Linked DNA regions of Astyanax mexicanus. The main gene of each other region encodes a partner of the protein of the gene in region 2 in a complex. Links are inferred from orthologs where the notes say so. Each region holds a gene or a part of one and is shown on either strand. Other genes may lie near its edges.

Evidence for each region.
Region 1: DNA-binding protein SATB1 (region 2) and hoxb2a share a complex: the UniProt entries of both Homo sapiens proteins name them as parts of the nuclear protein complex. The link is inferred for Astyanax mexicanus from reciprocal best matches to the Homo sapiens genes SATB1 and HOXB2.

Annotation. Positions count from the first base shown.
Region 1 is NC_064426.1:33,373,869-33,382,701, reverse strand, and holds hoxb2a (homeobox protein Hox-B2a), read right to left. Parts: upstream 3,600-8,833; 5' UTR 2,755-3,599; coding exon 2,298-2,754; intron 1,475-2,297; coding exon 735-1,474; 3' UTR 222-734; downstream 1-221. Other genes in the region: hoxb3a (homeobox protein Hox-B3a), read right to left, coding at 6,676-7,436, 8,189-8,678. UniProt on the Homo sapiens protein: Sequence-specific transcription factor which is part of a developmental regulatory system that provides cells with specific positional identities on the anterior-posterior axis.
Region 2 is NC_064408.1:119,012,950-119,021,978, reverse strand, and holds the start of DNA-binding protein SATB1, read left to right. Parts: upstream 1-5,539; 5' UTR 5,540-6,032; intron 6,033-9,029. UniProt on the Homo sapiens protein: Crucial silencing factor contributing to the initiation of X inactivation mediated by Xist RNA that occurs during embryogenesis and in lymphoma.

The sequences.
Region 1 (8,833 bases), on a different chromosome or scaffold from region 2:
ATTATTATTGTTGTTGTTGTTATTGTCATAATAATGATTTTCTTGTATTAATAATTGTTCTGATTTTATAGTTTGAAGCCCATACAATAAATATGACTGCCAAATGTAATGTTTTAATTACTAGAGTAATTATTTCTTCATTCATAATTATAGTGACAACAAAATAACATACTGCTGCTGAAGTTCTTTCAGTTTGACCTTTGAAAATCATCCACACTGTGTTCCAGCTTATAAATGTTTTATTTTCAACTATGAAAATAATGTACAATAAATAATTTGAAATTTACTATTAAAGAATCTCAATAAATAAACTAGTTCTAAAATTCATCATTGGGGCAACGCCCGTCTCGGGAGAATTTCCTAAAAGCAGTTCAGCTAGCCTCATTTCTGACACATTTCCTGAGAATTCAATGATTGAGCTCCACTGAAAACAAGTCCCCACAACATTTATCTGCATAAGTCAGCCCCAAAACTAAAAGCGAGACAAACAAAAGACAGTAAAATACCTGAAACTGGCCATGGGTAATCCCGTGGTAGATTCGCTATAATAGGTCACCGTAATACTGTCAAAGCAATATTTTTTTCCCGCCACGGCTTCGTCTCACAACTATGCCTGCATATAACCCAGAAGGGAATTTGTCCTTCTTTTTCAGGAATGTTGTAGTCAACAAAATCATTAAACTGTGATGAGATGCATTTGGATTTGAATTGTTCTTTCTAAACGTTACAGTCAATTAGAACTGTAAATGTTGTAAATCTATGGTACAAAGAGTACTCGTAAACAGGTCAAAATCCTCTTCGGAAAAGTCTACGGGGCTGTCCAGTGAGCTTTGCAGACTCGGTGATAAAGCGTCCGAAATCTGTAGGCAGGAGTCAGTGGAAAAGAAATTCAAGTCAGCAAGTGAGTTGGTGTCCTGCGGCTCAGGGAACGCGCTGTGCTCTCGGCCTTCGCTGCCCATTGTAGCCGAAGTCTCTGCAGTGGGCGTTGGGTACGGGGGGGAGTGCATCGCTGTGTCAGGAACAGATGTGCACTTCGGCCGCATCGCCTGACCTTCCTCAGGCGTGGGCTGGCTATTGTCGGCACTGTTCGTGTAGCAGGCGGCAGGGGGGCATGATTCGCTCTCCGAAGCTGCCGCCGAACCTGAGCTGGATCCCGGACCCGACGATTCCGGGGGCTGGTTCGAGTAAGGCGAGGCGGCGTCGGTGCCGTCTAGGGGCTCAAAGCCGCTAGGTTCGCCCTCTTGGCCATCTCGGTGATGCGTCGTCTGTCGCTTGTGCTTCATGCGCCGGTTCTGAAACCACACTTTGACTTGTCGTTCGGTTAGATCCAATAGTGCTGCGATTTCCACTCTCCTGGGTCGACAGAGGTATTTATTAAAGTGGAACTCCTTCTCCAGCTCGAGCAGCTGTGTGTTGGTGTAGGCAGTCCTCAGACGCCGCGAACCACTACTATTGTCCAGCCCTCCTTGTATGTCTGCAACAAAAAAAACGATAAATTACTAAATTGCGCAAAAAGTCTATTCAAAAGCTGGTCCGCTTTTTGGATGACTGCGCGGCACTGTTTTGCAGAACCAAGTTCCCAAGCGATGGAACCGCCTTGCAGTATGTAGGCAGCAAGCCCCATATTTTGTTTTGTTCAACTGCCCTCACAGTGCATACTGACATCCAAAATGGCTACCCCAAGCCATGAGACATGGTTGTGAATATATATCATTAAGACAGCGCTGACATCAACTGCGATTAAACAGTCATTCCAGAGAAAGATTTACTATCTACATCAAAGTAACGGCAATTTTGTCTGCCAGAATGCACATCGAATATTAGCACAAAAAATATGGGGAGATGACAATAGTTATCTTATGAGTACACCTTAATCACAATGATTTTAAAAATATTAATTCAATTACTTATGTACTGTGAAATTATTTTTTAAATAACTGACAATTTGATATTAAAAGATAGTAACATAATTTGAACAATTCACAGTACTGGCACACTGTATTTCAAATTAATGTTAGGGATAAAAGGCATATCAGAAATGTTGCCAAAAATGTCCTATATAATATAGCAGCAGGGAACATTTTCGATGAGAGACCATTTGAATATAAAAGCTTGGAAAATTTCATTATTGTTCTGAATCGCTTAGAATGGACGACAGTTGATGCTTTTTGTAGCTGCACTACATGTTATTCATGAATTATTTTGATATCACCCTTATATAATTACAGAAAGCATGTGTTCAGAAACAAAACAGAAAATTACGGGGAAAATATATATATATATATTGATAAACTGACCTGTCGGGGACTCAAGTCCCGCTGTGGTATAGCCAGAGGATGCTGGAGATGGGGAGGCAGCTGCAGAGGCTGCTGCCGCTGCCGCTGCCGCTGTTCCGGGCTTGGGGCACTTCTTTGACGATTTCTTCTCCTTCATCCATGGGAACTCGTGGGCCAGAGGACAACCGCCCGATAGTGCAGCCGGGCCCTGCTGCTGCTGTTGCGTTGGCGGTGTTGCCTGCGTCCGGAGCTGGAGGCCATTGGAGGCGGTTCGCTTTTGGCTCTTCGGTCGCGCCTGGTTGCCTGTGCAAGGGCTCAGGCTGGGGATGGTGTTCTCGAAAGGAGGTGGAATTACTGTCGAGTCCTTGATTGATGAAGTTTGAAATGACTCCAGGACAGCGGGGAAAGACGTCAGGCACTCAGCAAGGGAAGGCTGGCTGTTGATGAACCCAATCTCCCTCTCAAATTCAAAATTCATCGCTTCGCCTAGTCAAGAAGGGCGATCAGCGACACCAAAACGCACAAAAATCACATCCAAAAGGCGTCGTTTTATTTTGCGCTCTCGCTATGGCTGCATTTGCGGGCTTTAATAATTGTGTATATTGGTGATATTACTAGCGTATGGGGACCTGTGTCTACTAAACTGAAGACTATGGGCGAAATTGCAGCCAATTCCTGATCACATGACTGCTATCAGCCAATCGAAATGCGGGGCCTTGTGGCAAAAAGAAAGCATTATTTTTCTGATTTGATCAAATATTCAAGATGATCATAGAATTGGGATGTAAGCGGGGGCTTACATATAAATAAAATGTACACGGTTGCCATGTGTTTATCCAGTGCTTGTCTGCGTGGGTGGTTAAGTACGGTCCTACTGAGACAATGACCATATGAATACACAGCTCGTGGTGATGTAATCCTCAGGCCTAAAGCGACTGTTAAGTGCACATCCACAATATGGCTAACTGCGCATTTTAGTGAGAGTCATTAATCTTAAAAGTTTTGACAAGAGTAACAGACAAGACATGTCTGAATATACGGCCTGTCTATGAAAATCTACATGTATTGTGTTATTAAATATAAATACATCGAGAGACTTTGAGATTCGTAGTCATTTCTGTCGGACAAGGGGGTTCCTAATTACACCTAGACGATGCGAATCCTGTATGTAGATATAATTTAATAATCATTTAAGCCTGTTCATCTACCATGAGACTCATTCGGAAAATGGATTCACGTAAGTAGCAGCTGAAGTCTTGTTTTGACTAGACTAAATTAAATAAAATTCACATACAGATATTGTATTACATGTTCTTACCAAACAATAACTATTTAATTGCTATATATATATATATATATATATATATATATATATATATATATATATATATATATATATATATATATATATATATATATATATATAGTAAAAAGGAAAATAGCACAGTTTACTATACATGCTAGTTAACCGAGTCACCTTTAGCAATATACGACATTTCCGTTGAAATACATTTATAGAGCACAGCCAATTTTTTGCAAATTTAAAGCGAATGAGATATGGGGTAGATATTCTTAGAAACTAAGTAGTAAAGGAGCAGCGGTGATCAATCTTTTCTCAGGCAATGCGCTTGACAGGAACCACCCTCAAGAATTCGCGTCTACCCTCCAGGATCACAACAAAGAAAACCCCCATTATTCCTACACATGATTAGATATTTTTCTTGTTTTTTTTGTTTTGTTTTTTTTTTGCAAAAATGCTTTATTTGCTTGGGATCTAAATCAAAAGGATTAAATCGCTGATTGAGCAAGACTAAACGTATATCATGGCACAATATGAAAGCACAAGTTGCTGTTTATATGTGCAGTTTGTTGCACAAGCTCGTCTCGTCGCTCATTTCGTTGCTGGAAGAAGCATAGGAAAGAATAAAATGTGTGTGGGAGTTTGGGTATTAGAGCATTCAAACAGAGCTGGGGGAAGTGGGCATGTGAAAAAGAGGAGGTCAATTCAAGAGGCCCATTTCTAGAATGGAGCTGGTGCGGGTTACTGGGATACATCGATCTCTCCTTCTGTCTTTTATTTTACCCAGGATAAAAGAAATGCTGATTAAGAAAAAATATTTGTAGACATTTTTTGACGAAAGGATTTACCGTGTTCTGTGGACGTTTTTTTAAAGGGTACTACCGTATCTATCTATCTATCTATCTATCTATCTATCTATCTATCTATCTATCTATCTATCTATCTATCTATCTATCTATCTATCTATCTATCTATCTATCTATCTATCTATCTATCGATTTTACTTATTACTATTTGTTTTATTACTGTTGGTTACAAAATATATGAGGGATATTACATTTATTAAGATATGAAAATGTAGTTATTTGATACGTGAATTGTCCCTGCTTGCTTTACTTATTTTGTTTTGGCTTTAGTCATTGTAATCCTGGTCTGTTTACCTTTGTATGTTTTAATGAAGCTGTCGAAAATTAATTAAAAAAAAAATACTCAGCGAACCTTCGTTTTGTTTGTATTTTGCAAGAACAGATAAATGCCACTTATATGCGCTCACTGCAAATGATATATTTATAAGACAATGTGATTCAAAATATTTCATTCAATTTGATACTATTAGAATAGTTGGGTGTTTTGTAAGTGATAATGTTTATTTTAATTGAATAAATTATGATTAATGTTGTTTAAACCCTACGACAAAAAATATTGAATAAACAAAATCTTCTTTGTTTTATCTTTTAATGTACTGTTTTTTATGTTAACTTTTTAAAGGGGCTTTTGATTTACAGAGGGAACTCAGAGAGTAGACCTGGGTTAACCTCACCTCACGTGACCAGTGCTTTGCGTGCTGCCTTGAGGGCAGTTCTTGAGAAGCCATGAGGACAGATGTACCACGTGTGTGTGTTGTGTGAAAAGTTGAAGCGACGTAGGACAAGAATGGAAATGAATAACATAACATTTATTAAAGAATTGTTCAACAGCCAACTGTTAACAAGAAAATCAAAGTAGCTACAAAGAACAAATAAAGATTCCAAAAGAAATGTTCGCTATAATGTCTATTTTCCGACTAAGCAGGAACGGTTCGAGTCCGCTCTCACGTACCCTGTACAAGTCAAATCATTGCTTATGTACAAAGGTAACAAAAACCTACGTTTCTCTAAAATACAGAAACTAAAATTAGTTACAATGACAAGAACACAATGTCTGCTTTTTATAACAGGTAAATACTAAAAAAGTACACTTTCTCGATATAAATACATGGGGGATAAATAATACAAAAAAGAAAGTATTTAAACTGGCTATAACAAATAAATATATATTTATGAATGTTCATTTGAACACACATACTGAAAGACGCTGATTGAAGGTCTTTCGCTTCAAAATAAGATTTACTTTTTCCCATACCCATCAAAATGTAAACTCTAAGTGCAACAACGATGCCCAGAGAAGAAAGCAATCGGCGTAAACCGAAACGTCTACACCACTGCCTGGTTTCTCGGACATGCATTTTGTTCAATTATACCCTGTTTCCACGTTAAGTCAAGACATGAGAAAGTGTGGGCCTTCCGCATTAGTGTGGGCTAATGTAAGCAAACCCAGAGAGAGAGAGGGGGGAGGGGGCGCAGGAGAGCAAGAGTAGGAGGGCGAAGGAGGGGCTTAATCAGTTAAAAAATGTAGGGATGGCCATGAACGCCCACTGATCTTTTTTTTTTTTACTCTTTTTTTTTGTTATACCCTGTACCAACGTCAAAGCAATTATTTAATTCTAGCCAGTTTACGAGAGAATGCCCAGGTAGCATAGATTGAAAACGTTCCTCAACTTATCAAAGTGAAAAAACAAGTATGGACTTCTACCATGTCTTGCCAAAGACACTGCACACATTTTGTTTTTGTTTTTTTCAGGCTGACAAGTTTAAATAAGACAGAAAAAAAGCAAATGTTTAATGAGCTGTTTAAAAAAGAGGTATGTAAAAGAAGGGAACTGAATGAAAAACAGTCCAGTGGTTTCCTAATGCCAGTTTCAGAAATACAATAACATTCCACACTTAAGCAGTCCTAAGTTTGGAGAACTCTGTGATGTATGGCACAAATGCTCATGATGACCTAAACAAGGGCCTCACTGGTTCATACAGTAAAATAATCTATTTCTTGGCATAAACTAGCCATATTTAACCAACCTTTTTCTTTAAAAGGGCCTTTACGGGTTCTATGTAGTGGATTCCTCTGAATTAACAATTGTGCTCACAGGTGAATAAAGGACAATACTGACACCAACTGCAGTTCTAGAGATGGCAAGAAACCACTGGATCATGTTTTTCAACCCCATTGCATCATCCCATGGGTTTTTGTTTCTATTTTTCCTTTTTGTTTTGTCCAAACCTGCTACAGATGAGTCAACTTGGGTGCTTCTTGAATTCTACCCTGAGAAGAATGGTGCGCTGACAGATCCGTGTATGTCGGGTGTGTATCGCACGGTCCATGATGTTGGTTGGCTGACATCTGTGTGGCACCATTGTAGTCCATGCTGGCAGACTGGTGGTGTGGTAAGTGATTGAGACCATACATGGATGGCCCAGTGGCAGGCATGGCATCCACATAATTACCTCCCACATAAACAGGACTACCCTGCATGTTAGGCGTCCCGTAATTGCCACTGTTACCCTGTAGAACGTGTGGGTCATATTCCGATGCTGTGCTACCGTACTTCTGTTGTGATGGGCATCCTTTCATGGGATTTTGATAAGCTGTTGACATGGCATAAGCATTTTGATGAGGCTTGTTAAAAGATGGTGGTGACGGTGCATCATAGCTGCCCATAGAGTGCATGGAGTTCATAAAACCAGCAGAGGACTGCATTGAGAGGGGAGGGCTTCCAGTGGGAGATGGCCCTCCTGAGGAGGAACCCATACCTTTCGATTTCTGATCCTTCTTGTACTTCATGCGTCGATTCTGGAACCAGATCTTGATCTGCCTTTCACTAAGGTTGAGAAGATTGGCCATCTCCACACGTCGAGGCCTGCACAAGTACCGATTGAAATGGAACTCCTTCTCAAGCTCCACAAGCTGAGCACTCGTGTAGGCTGTGCGTGCTCTCTTGGAAGCCGCAGAACCCGGAGGGCTTTTCTCACCACCACTGCTCTCCGCTGGGGTGGGAATGAAATAAAACATAATTACTACATGCAGCAATTGAATGCGTCATTCCCCTTAATAAAGCTGGTCACATAAAGAAAAGCTTACCCCTGCCCCCACCTTTGATATTGGTTGTCAACATATCATAACTGGCACTTATTAAGAGGTGTATGCCCTAACATTGACCGGGTATATGTAAATTGTATTAAGACCAATGCCCACGGCCACAATCGTCCTGTGCAACATGCAATTATATTTGCTCTCTATTCACTGACTATCATTAAATAACTTAGCTGCCCTGTGAACCAGTCTTAGTAAACAAGTGTATGTTTATCAAAAAGGCTCTATATGATATTGAATCAAATATTGATTAAATGTTTTCCATCATATGTGTGTGTACTGAAGAGTCCATATGATGGAATGCATTTACTTCAATATTATGTAGAGCCTTTCAAAATCATATGAACCATTAAGGAACCAAGTTTCAGGTAACAGATAGTCCACTTAACCAATATAACACTTAACTGTTGGTTTTACTGCAGTTATTCTAAACATTTTTATGATCCTTTTGTCCACACCCACAATGCAAAAATTATTATTGCTACTGCTTGAACATTGTAAGCAATTTAGCAACAGTTTCTGTTTCTGTTTTAATCCTAGTTCAGGGTATGGCTAAAACATGTCTTCGAGGGAAACAAAATCAGGTGGGGTTGTAATTGGGAAGGGGTGGGTGATCATTGATGGGTAGGGAGGGGTTGGCACACACCGTTAGCTGAGCTTGCGCTGGGGGAGCTGTTTTTTTGCTTGGTGTTCTGACGCGACTCTTTCATCCAGGGGAAGATCTGCTTGCTGATGGTCGGATTCGGGGCAAGCGTAGATGACTTTGATGAGGATTTGGTCGTGTTTCCACTGCCAGCCCCACCACTGCTGCTGCCACCTTGCTGCTGGGGGGCGCTAGATCCAGTTGGATTCACAGGGTTTTGAGGAGGGGAGACTTGGGGCGGTGGGTGGTGCTCAGGTGGCAGACTAGGCCGCATACAGCTGCCGTTGAGCTCTTTCGTCTTGGCATGCTGCGACTGTGTGGGTGCGCTGGTGCCGAGGGACTGCAGAGAGCAGGCAGACCTCTGGTAATCACCCTCGAGGTGCGCCGAGCTCTGGAAGGCGGCTGGCTGGGACTCATAGCCGAAACCATTGGCCCCCTGGTACGAGTAACCTCCGAATAGTGTCGAGTTGTCGTAGTAGGTCGTTTTCTGCATTTCCAAAAGTCGCGTTACCGGCTACCAGGGTCCTGACGACCTTCTGGAAGAACATTGGCACCAGATGTCACGTGACGATCTTTTTCCAACGGCCTCTTGGAAGCTGACCTGAAAGGTTATAAGAGGCACATAATAAGAGCGGCGCGAGGTAAATC
Region 2 (9,029 bases):
GTAGAAAACTCTTGATTGTGAGTTCTTATAATAATAATTATGACCTTTTTAACAAATAATTTTGGTAGAATTATCTACAGCCAATCACAATCTCTTATCCACAGTGCTCTTTAACCTCCTGGTCCCCCTGAATTTCTGGGGCCTTCTGTGAGTAAGGCACCAAGCTAATTACGCTAACGGCTAACGTTTATCCCCCCAGATTGGCCCTTCTCTGAGCCTGACCGTTTCCTCTGAGCTGAGCTTCACTCTAAAGCCCCCTCTTGTGGACACAGAAGGCACCACACAACCCCTCAGCTCATTCAGAGTGTGTGCTGATTTGATTTCTTAATGTAAAATCTGTAGAAATGTTAAAAAACCACACAGAATTCAGCCCCGGCTGCTTTAATGTACAGTGCGGTCTGCAGCTTTCCCCCCTCTCACTGCTGCTCTCCTCAGATCACACCAACTGAAATCAACGCAGGGCAGTGATTCATACGGGGAACGAGAGAAAAGGGCAGAGGTGTAACAGTGACAGATAAAAGTTTAACATGGCTTTTGTGGAGTCCCAAAACCACGGCTGTGTGCGCTCTTCTGAGAAACGGCTCCAACCTGACGATAAGGAGCAACGACTGAGTTAAAAAAAAAAAAAGCGTGAGATAATAAGAGAGAAATTGGGTCATTAGTGAAAGCTGTGCAAAAAAAAAGTACGTGTACATTTAGTATACTTTTTTAAGCATTAAGTACATTATTTGTTTTACATCTTTACATCTATTTTGCATTTCAAAAGTATACAAGTAAAATGGTGCAATGATTGCAAGTGTATGAATCATTGCAAGATTAGATCTTAGAAATCCATAATTAAAAATGTCTAGTAGTAAACATTAGTAATGGTATATATTTGTAATACTGTGTAAGATATGTGTACAATATATATATATATATATATATATATATATATATATATATATATATATATATATATATATATATATATATATATATATATATATATATATAATATGCATGATATATGATACCATACTGATAGAAATGCAGGGTGCAAATCAAGCACAAATGCAAGTTGTACATAATTTTTGCACCTTAAAATGGGCAAAATGTCCCATAATTAAGACTTTGTAGTAGTATTTAATTGTTGTAGGTTTATGTTTGAGTAAAATGAACCTTGTAGTTTTATTCTATAAACTACAGACAATGCTTCTCCCAAATTCCAAATAAAAATATCGTCATTTAAAGTGTTTATTTGCAGAAATTGAGAAATGGCTGAAATAACCAAAAAGATGCAGAGCGAAAACAAGTTCATATTCATTTCAGTTCAGTTCAGTTCATATTTCTGAACTTTTAGAGTTTTAGAGTTCAGAAATCAATATTTTGTGGAATAACCCTAGTTTTTAATGCATGTTCTCCTCCACCAGTCTTACACACTGCTTTTGGATAACTTTATGCCACTCCTGGTGCAAAGAAAAAAAATGTATATATAGAAGTAAAGGGTGCAGTAAAGTGTCAAAATATGTAATAAATAGCACAAATAATATATTGTCACTGTCCAATGAAAAACAATTATCTCCAAAACAGCAACTTTACAGAACAGATAAAAAAACTCTTTAAACTTTCAATGGTAGTCAATGTAAAAAAAGAGTTTATTTCAGGTCATTTTAAAGTATTTCTATTGGTCCATTTATCAATAGATTTTGGCACAGTTTAAGGGACAGTTTGTCTGTTCAAATTATGTAGTAAACTAAAAACTGACAAAAATGGAGATACTTGTTTTTTTATGGACAGCAATGATATATATATATATATATATAAATTTGTACAATATATGCATTTTATTATTATGCTTTGCATTATTTTGATATGATTTATTGCTGATAGAAATAAAGGGTGCATTCACTGCAAGTGTGTGAATTAAGCATATATGCAATTTTTGCAAATAGTAAAAAGCAGTAATAGTAAATAGTATATATTATAAACTCTATATACACCATATTTGCATTTTGGATTGTGCAGTATATTGATATATTGAGTAAATGTTTTACTGCTTCATGGCAGGTGTATGAGTTTAGAGCATGGGTAAAAAGTGGGGGAGGTAATGTAACTCAAAATGAGTCAATTTATTAGTTATATGAATTAGAACATATATAACAGTATATATCCATTTGTCAGCTGATGATAAGAACCAATGCTGATGATAAGTTATAAATAACATTTACTAAATATATCAATATACTGCAAAAAACAAAATGCAAATATGCTGTATATCGAGTATATAATATATACTATTGCTACTTTTTACTACTTGCAACAATTGCAATTATGCTTAATTCACACACTTGCAGTGAATGCACCCTTTACAATAAATCTACAATGAATTATATAAAAATAATATATTGCATTATAATACGGAGAATGAGAGAAGGAGAGGTTGATTAGTGGACTCTCAGGTTATGTAGAGGTGTGAGGTGTGAGGTATGATGCTGCTGCTGAAGTGTGTTTTGGACAGATGCTCCTCGCAGTGGTGTGAGAGTGACCCAGTTTCTGCTGCTGCTGCTTCTGCTGCTGCTGGACGCTCTGCACCTCCACCTCACCCTGTTTCCACAGGATGAAGCTCAGCCTACACAGCAGCAGTGGGTCGGGGGGTCGGTGTGGGGGTGAGTGAGTGGGAAACTGGGGTGAGGATGGTGAGGAGGGGGCTTTTGAGGGTTGAGGGTTTTGTTTTTTGTTCCCTTCACTGCGGCACGGAGACAAGCAGCGGAAACCTAGAGAGCTGACCAACAGGTGTGTGTGTGTGTGTGGGAGAGAGAGAAGGGGGACTGCAACTTCTGAAAAGGCTTCATTCCGAGCTCACAGCATTTATCCGCAATAAATAAAGGAAATAAACACATCAGTAAAGAGGAAGCAATTGTTGAAGTGAATAAATATAAATAGAGATCAAACAAACAAACAAATAAACAAACAAATAAATAAATGCTATTTATAGAAATAGGTGGTAAATGAATGCATGATGATATATTTATATATATGCGAAATAAGTAAATATGGAGCTGAATAAATTACACAAGTAAATGAATTGATGAATGAATAAGCAAGTAAGTACGTAAATAAATCATTCAATTCAATGAATAAATAAATAAATAAATAAATAAATAAATGATATATTCATGGACAAATACATTAATACATTAATAAACAATGCCACATACTGCAAAAAATGAATAAATAAATGAACCGGAGCATTTATTAATAAGTAAATAACCAAGATAAGCAAAAGTTAAAAAATAAATAATATTTTTAAAAAGTAAGAAAGAAAGGATAAAGGAAAATGAAAAAGAATAATATATAATGTGCTTTTTATATTTAATACTACCTCTTTCTTTCTCTGCTCTATATAAAGCCACTTACAAAGGATGAGTTTCTGTGATTTTACCAAACTGAAAACCTCTGGAATACAGGGGGAAGATTGTATTCCAGAGTCATCAAACCAAGCTGAACTTGCTTTTTTTTCCAAAAGCAGTGTGTAAGACTGGTGGAGGAGAACATGATGCCAAGATGCATAAAAACTTTGATTAAAAACCAGGGTTATTCCACCAAATATTGATTTCTGAACTCTTAAAATTGTATGAATATGAATTTGGTTTCTTTGCATTATTTGAGGTCTGAAAGTTCTGCATCTTTTTATTTTGTTTATTTCAGTCATTTCTTATTTTCTGCAAATAAATGCTCTAAATGACAATTTGGAAGAAATGTTGTCTGTATATATATATATATATATATATATATATATATATATATATATATATATATATATACTATATATAAAATAAAAAATGAAATAAAATATAATACAAATGATAAAAACTCCACCTCAAACCCTTCAGTAATTATTCATTGCATCTTAAACAATACTTAAATTTTACTGTAATATTTTTAAACCAAATAATAACAAAGTTTGTCAGTAAAATGACCCTTTTAGAAAAATAAGCTACAGCTTTAATTTGCTCGTTGCTTTCCTGTTCGTAGTAGGTTTTCTGCTCTGCTGAGAAATGAGCAGTTTCTGGTTCAGTAGGAGCACAACGGTGTTATAACACACACACACACACACACACCTGCTGAAGCTCACATCTGCACTCACTCACCTGTGCACTGTGTAACTGCGTGAAATAATCAGCATTTTTGCACTGAAAGTCAGTGACAGCGCAGTGGATTTAAATATTTAAATATTTAAACCGAGTTAAACTCATCACGCAAGATTTGGTGTGAATGTGTGCCCTCTTGGCCACGCCCCTTTTCCTTGAAGCGTGCGGTTTTCCCGCGGGTTTGTTTCCCCACATGTATTCTGATGTTCTCGTCCAAAAGTTCCTTATCTATCATGTCTGCTGAAAACTGTGTAATATTGCTGTGAAGATATATGATATGATGTAATATATTGTAGAGGGGCGTGGCTAACACTGAAAAAGATAAATATATGCAAGTTTTAGAATGTGCCATAATTTGCAGCAATGTTCCTTGTATTGTACCATCAAATACAGTTTATCCAATTGTGATGGATTACATCACATTTAATCCATTGGGGGCATCGTAAGCCCTGAATTGTGATATATATCGTAGAGAAGTAATAAAATACAAATATTTTAAGACAACTTTTTTGTTCTCGTTACTCCTATTTCATTTCAGTTGGTTTTCATTCCGGCTTCTCATCCTTCAATAAAACCCCTATCCAGATAAATCTCTCCATCCAGATAGAGTGAATCTGATTGTGACTGGATGTAGAGAAGTATAAACATATACCATTCCGACTCCCTATTGGTTTATACTGTGATCCATCACACCTGCACCAGAAGATCATTTGTGCAGAGACTCAGATATATTTGCATTTTACTTATATTCTTATATTCCTTATTGTGCTATCTTACTGTACGATTGTTGTCTATCTATCTATCTATCTATCTATCTATCTATCTATCTATCTATCTATCTATCTATCTATCTATCTATCTATCTATCTGTTCCACCCGATGTTCAGGTAAGCCACGCCCCTCTATTGCAATGATTGACTAATTAGTCAATCATCCTGGACTTTTTTATCAAAAAAAAAAAAAAAAATTTATTTTTAGTTATATCTTATGAGGTATAGTTAATTTTCATGCTGTTCTCAGTTAGCATCTTTTATAGTCTTATATTCTTTACTGTGCTTTCTTACATAGATAAATCTATCTATCTATCTATCTATCTATCTATCTATCTATCTATCTATCTATCTATCTATCTATCTATCTATCTATCTATCAGGTAAGCCCCGCCCCTGTTATTGCTATGATTGATTAATTAGTCAATCATCCTGGTTTTTCTTTCTAAAAAAACAAAACAAAACAGAGAGAACAAACTCCTGACCAATCGCGGAACAGGTGGGCGGGGCTTTGTGTGGAAAACGGGTGGGGAAAGAAATCAACAACAACATCACACCACCGGAGAGAGTAGTATAGCGCAGCACGAGCGAGATAGATCAAAGTGGGGCACGCGCGAGAGCAGACGCGTGAGGTCTAGAGAGAGAAGGAGAGAGAGAGCGATAGAGCTGGCACGAGGCGGAGACGGGGCGGTTCATTTTTTCATACCTGCCCCCGCATCCCACCCCTCTTCTTGCCCCTCCGCCCCCCTCCAGTCCCCTAACACCCCCTCCCACTCCCGCAGGCAGCTCTATCCCGGACCACAGGTCCCGCGCTGCCCGCATTTCTCGCGCTGCCTCGCCGCGCGCCTCCGAACTTTGCTGATTTTGAACTGAGCTCGAACTGAATTTGAACTGAGCGCGCGCGAGTGACCGTTGGCGTCCAGTAACGGTCGCTTTCTAACGGACTCCTCGCGATTCTGCGGCTATATTTTCATTTATTTTGGTTAATTTAGTTAATTTTGAGGAGTTTTCTCGCCTTTTCCGAAGCTGTCAAGGTGGGAAGCGAGGCGAGACGAAGCCGGTCAGCTTTGGATGGGAAAAGAAGAGAAAAAAGCTGCGAAAAACGAGAAAGAACAACGCAAAACGAAAGGTGAGTGGCTAAACGTCTAGTTGAAGCATTAGTTAAGCTTACGTTAAGTTTTTTTTCTTTTTTTGCGTTTACCTCTGTTACAGGTAACGTCTAACGTCTAAGGTATCGTTAAACGATGCCTGGACTTTAAACGTTCATTAACTTACAGGTGTACGGTAAAAAAAAGAATATCGAATAGACGTTGCTCTTTGGTTGCGTTTAACCTAACTACAGTTAAGTAGTTGAGTTTTTAAGATGCTGATGGAAAAACGTTTAACATTTAAACAACGTTTAAATGGGTTACTTAAAACTGCTTGCTTCATAGGCGTCAGTTAATCAGTTGAAATTATGACTTTGATTCAACGTTTATTTTAAGGCTTTGAAAATCACAAGTTAAGCATTAACTTGCACGTGTAAGGTGAAATGAATATTGAGTTGACGTTGCACTTTGCTCTTTGGTTGCGTTTAAACTCAATTTCTGAAGTTTTAAGTTGTTATTGGTAAAACATTTAAAACATTAAAAAACGTGCAGGTTACTTGAAACTGCCTCATATGCATCAGTTCGTGCTGAAATTCTTACATTGATTAAACGTTTATGCTTTTGTTTTTTATGAGAAAGGTGCTTGCGACAAATAATATAAATTATAATAAGTATAATAATAGTAATGGTTGTCAATATTATTAAAATTGAACTTTCTACACTGTATGTTTGCACATATTTAAGTTTAATACATGCAACACATATAAAACGTATAAACGTTAAACCCATATTAAATCTACGTATCAGTCAATCAGTCAGTGTTTACAAACAATTAAACTCTGACATCGGACATAAACGCTGTTTCAGAGCATTGGAGAAGAAAAAAAAATATATATATATATCGTTAATTCAACAAAATTGAGCGTTAACGTCTGTTGCTGATAACGTCTAACGTCTAATATTATTGATAAAAGTTATTTTATGATATGGTTTTATGATAGAAAAGAGAGGTAAACTGAAGAAGAACAACACAAAACACGAAGTGAGTGGCTGGCATTGCATCGCATTGAGTTTTAACGTTAACTTCAGTTGTCATCAACATCTAACGTCTACTTGGACTTATACAGGTGTAGGCTAGCTTGGTTTTAATCTGAGCTGCGTTTTACTACAAACCGGTTAAACAGCTAGTTAAACATCTTCACACTTACTTAGTTAACTAGCTAAGTGAATGAATTAGCTGGCAGTTAATTAGTTAGTGACTGAAGCCCCCCCCTTCACACATCTATCTAACGTTAACTAAGGCAGAAAGAAAACACCACCTGCTCCCAAAACAAGCTCTCTCCATTATTGACGAGCCTCCATCCCTCACTGTCACATCCCTTTGCTGTCCTCTTTCATCAATCGCCTGATAAAGAATAGATAAGGCCAGGAAAAAAGGTGTGCACTCAATTCTTAAACACTTCTCTTTTATAAGCACTTCAAGAATTAATGCCTCATGCTGTTCTGCTGCTATTTAACTCAAGATTTTTCAGCTCAAGATTTTTGTGTCACACTGATAGAAGTCAAGAGTACCATACATCCATGCAAAGTGATGCTCCTAACTTAGTGCAACACAAACTAAGCCTTAAAAGTTATTTTTATTAAGTAAAATTAACTGTTAGTAGTAGAACATATTGCTATTATGTAGTCATGCTTTTTAATTTAGCTTTTAGTCTTGTTTTATTGCATTTTGATCTTAATATTATAAGCACAACTTCTCTATCATCAATATCAGTTTATACTAATAGAATTAAAGGGGAGAGTCACTGCAAGGGTATGAATTGTAAGCAACGTAATGCAAATAAGATTCAAAGGGCCAAAAATCCTGTTTTATTTCATTGTTTATTCATTTAAAACTCGTCAAAATCAATAGCTTATACTGATAAAAGTAATCAGGACAATAATTGGTAGGTAAAGCAGCAAACTCAAAACAAATCCAAACATCTCGTAATTAAAGATAGTTAATAGTTATTAGAATATTTATATTTATATATGTGTGTATATTTATTTATATACATTTTCAGATTTTTTTAAGCAGTATAATGCAGTTTTTTTCATCAATTTATCATAAGCACTAATCCATTTTTAGATGTTTAATAGTACAAGCAGTGCAGCTGTATGAGTTAATCACACTTTAACTTGTCAGAATGCGTGAGAAAAGCCATATCTAATAATAATAATAATAATAATAATAATAATAATAATAATAATAATAACAAAAAAAAATGCATTAAATCTCTAACTAAACAAAAGTCTCTTTAGTTTAGTTTCATTTTCATTTCCGCATTTTTTTTTTGCAAACATCTCTATGTCTTTATGTATTTGCTTTATATATATACCTGTCCTGAGTATCATAAGCTGAATAAGGGACCAAACCTGTGTGTCCTGAGTAAATGTCTTCCAGATGTGCAAGATAAGCATTTGTGCATCGTATCTATTTAGCTAATAAAACGAAATAAAAAAGCACAAATCACCCAGAAAAGTTTATGATAGCACAAAGGAACACTCTTTATATATATTATAAGATAAAATCTGTATTAACATTAAATGAAATCCAATTAACTACAATAAAGTAACTGTTTTTTTGGTTTATGTCTATTGGATTGAAAGCCTGTGCTTAACATTTTATGTTAGATTTGATATTGACCTTTTTGTTCACAAGCCATCCTTAAAATAAACACTAAAATAAACAAACATGAAAAAAATGTGTTCTAAATGAGGTCTTTTAGTTTATTTAATTTTGGCTCTAGTGCTGTTTTTTTTTTTTTTTCTCCAGTGCAGTGATCAAGGCTGAGCTATTGTTTCATTGGCTTATAAACTTTTAAGTCTATTCTGATTTAAAAACAATTAGTGTCTCAGTTAGTGTTACAGGCAACAAAACGTTTGAAAAATATAAGAAAATACATGATGTCCATTGTAATGCATGCACAGTCTGAAAGGGTTAAGCACAGTTATGTTTAAGCAAAAAGTGCACAGTAGCTTTGGTAGTGTTAAACTAG